Coturnix japonica: one gene and its partner. The protein of the gene in region 1 interacts with the protein of each later gene in a pairwise test. Links are inferred from orthologs where the notes say so. Each region holds a gene or a part of one and is shown on either strand. Other genes may lie near its edges.

The links.
Region 2: the proteins of XRN2 (region 1) and TARDBP interact in binary tests that used the Homo sapiens proteins (3 or more experiments, as listed by UniProt). The link is inferred for Coturnix japonica from reciprocal best matches to the Homo sapiens genes XRN2 and TARDBP.

The regions. Positions count from the first base shown.
Region 1 is NC_029518.1:4,192,880-4,196,693, forward strand, and holds part of XRN2 (5'-3' exoribonuclease 2), read left to right. Parts: coding exon 1-55; intron 56-271; coding exon 272-383; intron 384-1,381; coding exon 1,382-1,440; intron 1,441-1,518; coding exon 1,519-1,608; intron 1,609-2,079; coding exon 2,080-2,152; intron 2,153-2,241; coding exon 2,242-2,292; intron 2,293-2,604; coding exon 2,605-2,762; intron 2,763-3,171; coding exon 3,172-3,246; intron 3,247-3,336; coding exon 3,337-3,470; intron 3,471-3,552; coding exon 3,553-3,610; intron 3,611-3,697; coding exon 3,698-3,805; intron 3,806-3,814. UniProt on the Homo sapiens protein: Possesses 5'->3' exoribonuclease activity. May promote the termination of transcription by RNA polymerase II.
Region 2 is NC_029536.1:3,498,292-3,502,747, reverse strand, and holds the start of TARDBP (TAR DNA-binding protein 43), read right to left. Parts: upstream 2,873-4,456; 5' UTR 2,607-2,872; intron 2,315-2,606; 5' UTR 2,300-2,314; coding exon 2,062-2,299; intron 1,403-2,061; coding exon 1,239-1,402; intron 547-1,238; coding exon 406-546; intron 1-405. UniProt on the Homo sapiens protein: RNA-binding protein that is involved in various steps of RNA biogenesis and processing.

The DNA of each region.
Region 1 (3,814 bases):
GATCTTCAACATTGTAAGACCAAGGCGACTTCTCTACATGGCTATAGATGGAGTAGTAAGTATTGACTGTATTTAATTCCTAGTTTCAGAAACAGATGGAAAATAACTCTATGGATGTAGTAACTTACCCATGCATTGTGATACCTGCTTTTTGTCTGGATAGGGAGCTTGGAGATGTGGTTTAGTGGTTATACTGTAGGTATGGTAAAGGGAGGATGGTTGGACTAGATGATCTTGTAGGTCCTTTCCAACCTTGTGATTCTGTGATTAGGCTCCACGTGCAAAAATGAACCAGCAGCGGTCAAGAAGATTCAGAGCATCGAAGGAGGGCATGGAAGCTGCTGAAGAGAAGCAAAAAATAAGACAAGAAATTCTGGCAAAAGGTAAAGCTGTGGCCATACCTGATGTTGTTTTTCAAGTGAGAATTGCCTTTTATGTTTTTATTGTTTCAGTAAGGGTTAGAAAAGGGATGTTGTGCTCTCAAATATCTTTGTAAATTACAGAGAGGGAGGGTGTAGTGGATCTTTTTTCTCCCCTAAGTTAAGATCCAAGATAAAATGTCACTTTTGTTTTCTGTCTTCCTGCCTGAAATGGATTTGTGTTCTTTTAATTCCTTCAGGAAGAAAGTGAACAGAAGAACAGGGATAAACATAGTTTTGCTTAGCCTCCCACTACTATTACAGAAAGGAATGAATGTTTCTGGGTCCTAACAAAAAGTTAGTTGAGGCTTAGCAATGGAAATCGTGTGAAGGTGTTGCTGCACAGGAATAAGGAATATACTGCAAGCAAGGGTAGGTACTTAGATTGGAAATTTAAACTCAGGAACAGGGCGACCTCAGTGCAGTCTGAGAGTGACAGTAATATGACTCGAGTGAAAGCAGTGTTTGTAGCTGAAGAATGCTGAGTGTGCTGGAGGAATTACTTCTTCCTGCACAGTCACCTGAATTAATGTGGCCTTCCAAATGGAGGCATAGCCTTGTTAGAGGTTAAAAAGGCAGGGCATGCTTTTTTTGTTGCATTTCAAGACTATGGAGACTCTTCATGAAGTTCAGAGAGAAGTTGTTAGAGTAACTTTGTTTGGGAGCTCAAGTGAACAAGTAGTGGAAACATAGAGAACAATACAAGAACTATTTCCTAATGTTTTATCTCATTTAGCAAGTTTAGTTTCTTTGAGGCTTCTTCTAATTTCTGGCAAAGCAGGTAGTGAAATTACTGCTCTGAAGCAATAAACAACATTTCTAAGAGTACCAGTACCTAATTTTAGGATGAAAGTAATGTAATGTTAATTGCTATCAGGGTAGCCATCAGGGTGTTTGTCATGCAAAAGTACTTCTAATGTTCCATATTGATTTACTCATGTTAAATGTCTTTAACACTCTAGGTGGCATTCTTCCTCCGGAAGAAGTGAAGGAAAGATTTGACAGCAACTGTATTACCCCAGTAAGTGATCTTGCCCTTAACCACCAATTGTCAGTATCTGGATGATGGCTTAATTTCTTTTCATCTTTCCGTTTTTAGGGAACTGAGTTTATGGACAATCTTGCCAAATGTCTCCGCTATTACATCGCTGACCGTTTGAACAATGACCCAGGGTGGAAAAATTTGACGGTAAGTTTCACAGTTTGATACATGCATTGTTTTTATTATCTGAATGATGCACAATAGATGTCAGTCAATAAAAATTATTCATAGCAGCTTTCATGCTTTTCTTGACTTTGAGATTCTCTTATGCTGCTACTCAACCACTCCACTCCCATCAAGTTCTGTTTCTTATAGCCCTGTGTTTCATCAGTTGTCTGTATAATGTATCAGGAAGCTAATGATATGATAATTGCAGTGTATTTGAATCAATATGTCAGCTTGATCCTGAAAATTAGAGAAAAATTAAGGTCTGCTCAGAGGACCCAAACTCTTAAATAATCGATTTTTGAGACATAATATGAGACTTGACACTGCAAATTAGGATTTCATATACTGAATGTGACTTAAGAATACTTGAACTACCTACTGTTGGTGGGATTTTTGTTTTTTTTAAGGCTGGCAGCACAAATTGATCACCTAATCTGTACATCTTCTTAGGTAATCCTGTCTGATGCTAGTGCTCCTGGTGAAGGTGAACATAAAATCATGGATTACATTAGAAGACAAAGAGGTATACTTGTAACAGGCTGCGGTATGACATTTATTTCTCACCTGTTTTGCATTTATTGAACCAAAGCTGTGTGATTTTCTTTCATGTAGCTCAACCAAACCATGACCCAAACACTCATCATTGTCTGTGTGGGGCTGATGGTGAGTTCTTTGCTGACAGTATATCTCGCGTTAAACTTTCTTGTGCTGTTTTTCGACTGTGTTCAGCTGTAGCATTTAGAATTTGGTTTGCATTTGTATAAATAATCCAGTGTATCTGCTTTTGACGGCTGCTGTCTGTGGCTGAAGGGCTGACTTTCACTTAGTTGTACTGTCTGGGTAGTTTGTGGGTGAGCCCATAGTTGTGGTCATGCTTGCTTAAAGCACAATGAACGTGGCTTTATAGTTGTTTGTTTGAAGAAAGTGCTTAATGCTATCTCTCATTAGATTTTCTTCTTCTCTTTTGATTGGTAGCTGATCTAATAATGCTTGGATTAGCCACTCATGAGCCACATTTCACCATCATTAGGGAAGAGTTTAAACCAAATAAACCCAAGCCATGTGCTCTTTGTAACCAGATGGGTCACGAGGTTAAGGATTGTCAAGGTTTGCCTAGAGAAAAACAAGGCAAGGTAAGAATCCTGATCTTTCTACAAATTCTTCTCAGTGTGAACTAATTTGTGTCTTAATGATATCCTCACATTATTCTTGCTGTCAGTTTTGTCTGAAGCGTAATACAAATTATGCTACTGGAATTGCCTGGCTTTTGTTTTATATTAATAAAATGATACTTCTGTAGCATATAAATACTATGTGGAATCTAACTTTCTCACTTATTAGTTTTCTTTCTTTTTCCCACTGGCAAGGGAGGATAATCATTAACTTAAGACACACAAAGTAGTGAAATACATGCTTGGCATAAAGAACTTGAGGACCAGTGCTTGTGTATCTCTTAGCTCTTTTCCAAGTATGCTTTAAAATGGAGCAGGATAAACTTAAAAGCGAGCTTGGATACAATTCAGTTATTTCTTTTCATTTTAGCACGATCAGTTTGCAGACAGTCTTCCTGCCTCTGAACAAGAATTTATCTTCATCCGCTTATGTGTTTTGCGAGAGGTATGTTGAAGCAGTTAATAAATCCTACATATATGAGTAATATTAAACTTTGTTGACAATGGTTCTTGGTGTCTTTTGCCTGTGTTGCAGTATTTAGAAAGAGAACTCACTATGGCCAGTTTACCTTTCACTTTTGATTTTGAAAGAAGTGTTGATGACTGGGTCTTTATGTGCTTCTTTGTTGGAAATGACTTTCTTCCTCATCTGCCATCTCTGGAGATCAGGTATGTGAGAATATACTTTCCTTCAAGTATACCTCCTGTAGCTTTAAATGACAAGTCTCATGCTTTTGTGTTTGCTTTCTAGGGAGGGAGCAATTGATCGCTTGGTAAACATATATAAAAACGTGGTGCACAAAACTGGGGTAATGTTTTTTTGTTCTTTTTAAAGATCTCTTTGTTTGCTACCAATGTAGATTTGTTTTTCAACCACATTACGTTGTGTTTTACAGGGCTATCTCACAGAAAGTGGTTTTGTCAACCTGCAGCGAGTCCAGATGATCATGTTGGCTGTTGGAGAAGTTGAAGATAGTATATTCAAAAAGCGAAAAGACGATGATGTAAATTCC
Region 2 (4,456 bases), on another chromosome or scaffold:
GGAAATAAAGGTAGTCAGTTATGGGCAGTGACAAGGCCAGTGCAGGACACGTCACTGTGCTGCACATTTAACTGCATATCCGCATGATCAGAACAGACTCATTCTGATATTCCATAGTTTCATGTGGCAGGCATGATAAATAACAAACTGCTGGATGTTAATAACACATTATTTTGTACTTCATATTGGAAAACTGAGTGCAGATATAACTAGCTATATCCCCAACACGTCTCATTCACTTCCTGTTCACCCACCTCCTCTATTTTCTTTATCCTGTTTACTCAGACTCCAAAACCACGAATAGGGCTTTTATTAACGTGTTCATCTGCTCACTTCGCACAGTGGCTATAGAAGTGAAGTTGTGAATGTTAGGCAAAACAAAGGTAGTCATAAATATGAAAGTACCTTAGAGTTGGGAAGTTTACAGTCACACCATCTGCCATCTATCATGTGTCGCTGGGACATGACCTTAACCTGGGTTTCATAATCCGTAAAACGAACAAAACCGAAACCCTTTGAGTGACCAGTCTTAATATCCTTTTTAACCTAGGATAAAAAAGAGCGGACTTTAAAACAGAACACAGTAGCACCGTGCTTGTGTTGGTGACATTAATGGCATGCTATTTACCTATCATCTTCTGTATCAATCTTGATATCATCACCAGAAAGGATACAGCCAGATCTCTGATTACCCCCCTTGTATACAACTACCTTTTCCTATGATACTAACCCTGCTATTATGCAGTCACAGCACAAGCTTCTGACACCTACAAATTTAATGCATTCTGACTGCTTTGAGCCCCAGTATTAGTTACTAAAACAGCAGGATCAGCATCAGGGTATAATTACTTTGTAACACTGTAATGACACGGCCAGACCTGCTATATAAACAATGCAAGCACACACAGCTGCATGCAGGACAGAGCCAGGCAGTGGTGACAGAGGTAACCTAGAGCATGCAACATGCTGTTCCTGAATTAATTTAGTAAAGCTTTGTTTTAAAGCCTGAAAAATAAGACATATACTCAGCTGTGACAATCAGCAACATAAACTAAAGAGCTGTTAATACATTGTACCCATTAGGCAGATCTGCGTGGATTACCACTCCCAAATATTCCCATCTGTACCCACACTACAAAGCTCTAAGGCACACAGCTTCAGATCTGCTCCTTTCTACTTTCTATCATCAGAACCCTGATTTCTACTTAACATCTTTCCATACTCAAAAAGTATTTTACCTGCACCATGAGGACTTCTCCAAATGTACTGAAGTATTCCTTTAAGTCTTGTTCTGTGGTTTTCCAAGGTAAACCTAGGACTATCAAGTCCGAAGTCTTCTGTACTGCTCGTTTTACCTTCACGGCTGAAGATGCATCTGTTTCATCCATTTTTCTCTTATTATCTGAATATAACGATGTACGTTAGAAATCATCCTCCTAACTTTAGAAACCCCTTCCACTAATCTTGAACAGCGCGGTATAAAACCAGACAACACTAAGAGGAAGTGCAGACAGCGGAAGAACACATGGCAGCTGTTGGAGGTTATCATTACAACCCACAGCCAACTGTCTGCAAGCGTGAAGAAAGAACGACCTACCAAGTCCTCCTATAAATGACCAAGTCCTCCTATCAATGCATTCTGAGTTAGTTTTGTGTTAGTTTACTCAAGGACCACCCAGTAATGTTTACTGAGGATGGGAACAAGATGGGTTTTTGACAACGATATTTAATGAGAAGGCTATTTCTAATTATTTTGGAGTGCTTTTGGTTGGATTTGTCTCACGTAGCTGTGACCAAAGCACGGCTTGAAGAGAAGTGTCTGTGAGTACACACAGCACCAGCATCTTTACAAGTTCTAATGAGGCTGCAACTCTCCCAAGCACAACATAAAACTGTCATCTAAGCCCTTCTGCAGCTAAAGAATTGAAGCTCTGAGTGCATCTGAAAACCCAGCGGGCTCAACTTCACCTGCAGGATGAACACAAGTCAATTGCTGTCACACACATCGATCTCTGGACTACAAAGCGCACTCATATGGAAACACAAAGGCACAGCACGAACCTTTGGGGTAGTTCACGACATAGACCAGGTTTCCCCAGCCGGCCTCAGGTGCGTGCAGGATGCCCTCCACCAGCCGCACGCCCCGCATACATTGCGATACCGGGTTGCGGTAACGCAGCCCACAGGCCCCGGGGAACTGCGCCGTGACGGTGGAGAGCAGCACGGTGCCGTCATCCTCCGACGGGATCTCGATGGGCTCATCGTTCTCGTCCTCCGTGACCCGGATGTACTCCGACATGTTCGCTGCAAGTCACTGAAGCGTGAGAGAGAAACACGCATCAATAACAGCCCCAACAACGCGCCTCGGGCCCAGCGGGGCACAGAGCGGCACCGAGCGGCACAACGGCAGGGCACGACCCGCCTCGCCCCGCCCCGAGCGGCGCAGGCCCCGCAGCGGCAACACCGGGCTCAGAGCCCCCACAGGGCCGGGAAGTGCAGAACAGCCCACGGGACAGCTCAGGGCTCACAGCTCACAGCTCGGAGCTCAGAGCTCACAGCCCGATCCCCGCCGCCCTCATTCCCAGCCCCGGCCGCCCCGCTCCTACCCGTCTCACCGGGCGGGAATGCAGCGCCGCGTCCTCAGCCCTCAGCGCCTCCAACGCGCCGCACAAAATGGCGGCCGGGCGGCGGGGCGAACCACTGTGAGGCGGAGGGGAAGATCGGGGCGTGTCGGCCGGCAGCGGGAGGGAGCCGGGATCGAGGCGCGGCTCCTGCGAGACGAACAGGAGCTGCAGCCCGACGTCCCGGAATGGCACGGGCCGACAGAACCGGAGCCGGGCTGTGCGTGCCGTTACCCCGCAATGGGCCGTGGTTCGGGCCGAGCCACGCGGGGGCTGCCGGGAGCGGCGTGAGGCGTTCCCGCCCTGTGCGCCTCCCTCAGGTGGCGGTGTCCGTCATGGCGGTGCGGGTCGGGTCGGGGCGGTTTGGAGCTGTTTAGAGCAGGTGATGCTCGCTGTTGTAACACTGCTTGCTGTTTAGTTCTTCCTAAGCCCAGTTTCTATTTAGTTAATGGGAAGTTAAGCCTCCATATGCTGCATAGTGATCTCCTGAGTCCCAGGCCATGATAACTAATGGACACTCGTGTTGTTGCTGCTGTTGCTCTGGCTCCATAAGGTAAGAACCCCACGCAGGACAGTGTCTGTGCTGAGCTGTGTGTGGGCAGCCAGATAAGGGTGGCTCAATCAGCAATACAATACAATTGTACAATACAATACAATACAGCACTGTGCTGTGCTGTAGTAAGGAAAGCAGCACCTTACAGCTCCCATCTCACCTGTTCTTGGTGCCTCTGATCACACACAGGCTGTGCTCACACCCAGATTGACTCCCCTTGTACCACTGTCCTTAAAAAGAACAAAAAGAAGCAATCTTGTTAGTAAAGGTAGGTGACTCCTGCTAGGTAGGGCCAATCCAGTTCCTTGCATCGACACAGAGAATTGCTGAGTATTTAAAGCTCCCACTTAAAACTTACAACTGCAAAACTTGGCTCTGGCACCACTGAAACTTGGCCCATCTGTGCCCCGGTAGCTTTAGACTCAGCCTTATCATTTAATTACCATTTTCCAACAGAGTTCTGAGAGCAGCTGACAAGACACAAGCTGACGAGATAAGCTAATGCTCCATGTAGGCGTTCTCTTGAAATTCCTACATTTTCCAGCCATCCACAAGACACGTCCCAAACCCAGTTCTGGTGTTGCCAAGTCAGCACGGAGGTAGTCGGTGTTGTCTGAACACGCCGTGAGGACTGAGCGGTAATTGCAGCATGTCAACATTACCTACTGCACCATTCCAAGTCAAAGCTATAGTTTAGCAATCAACGCTATTTGAAGAGGTTGCCGTGGCATTCAGCCAAAGTGACCTCTATCTGACAAAGCATCTGCTGCTAGTTTTATTAATGAGCAGAGTAAACATCAACCCTGTGCTAGATTTGTGCAGGTAAGAGCCAGGGGAGGGCAGTGAGCAAATGTAACTATCTTTTTTCTGTAAAAGCTGGGATTCTTGCAGCATTTTCCTACTGTTATTTTGCATGACTGTTCGATTTAAGTTAAGCAGATAACAACAGTGTTGCCCTTGAAGTAACTACACCAGCGGGCCAGCAGCTAGTTAATACACCAGTTGTCTCACGCTGGCAATTCACAGTGCCCATGGGTGCAGACAAATGCAGTACCGTGGTACTAACCATCATGTATATCGAGTTAAGTGTGCCCACAGGAAAGAAAGAAAATGCAATACAATAACTATTTGCTGCTCTGGGTTAAGTGTGCTCGTGGGTACAAACAAACTCCATAACGATCAGCTGTTTGTTCTCTCTCCCAAAAGCACTTGGGGTGAAAAACCGCCATCAATGGCCATTTAAATATAACCTCATGATTAAACAAACCAACAAGCAAAACAG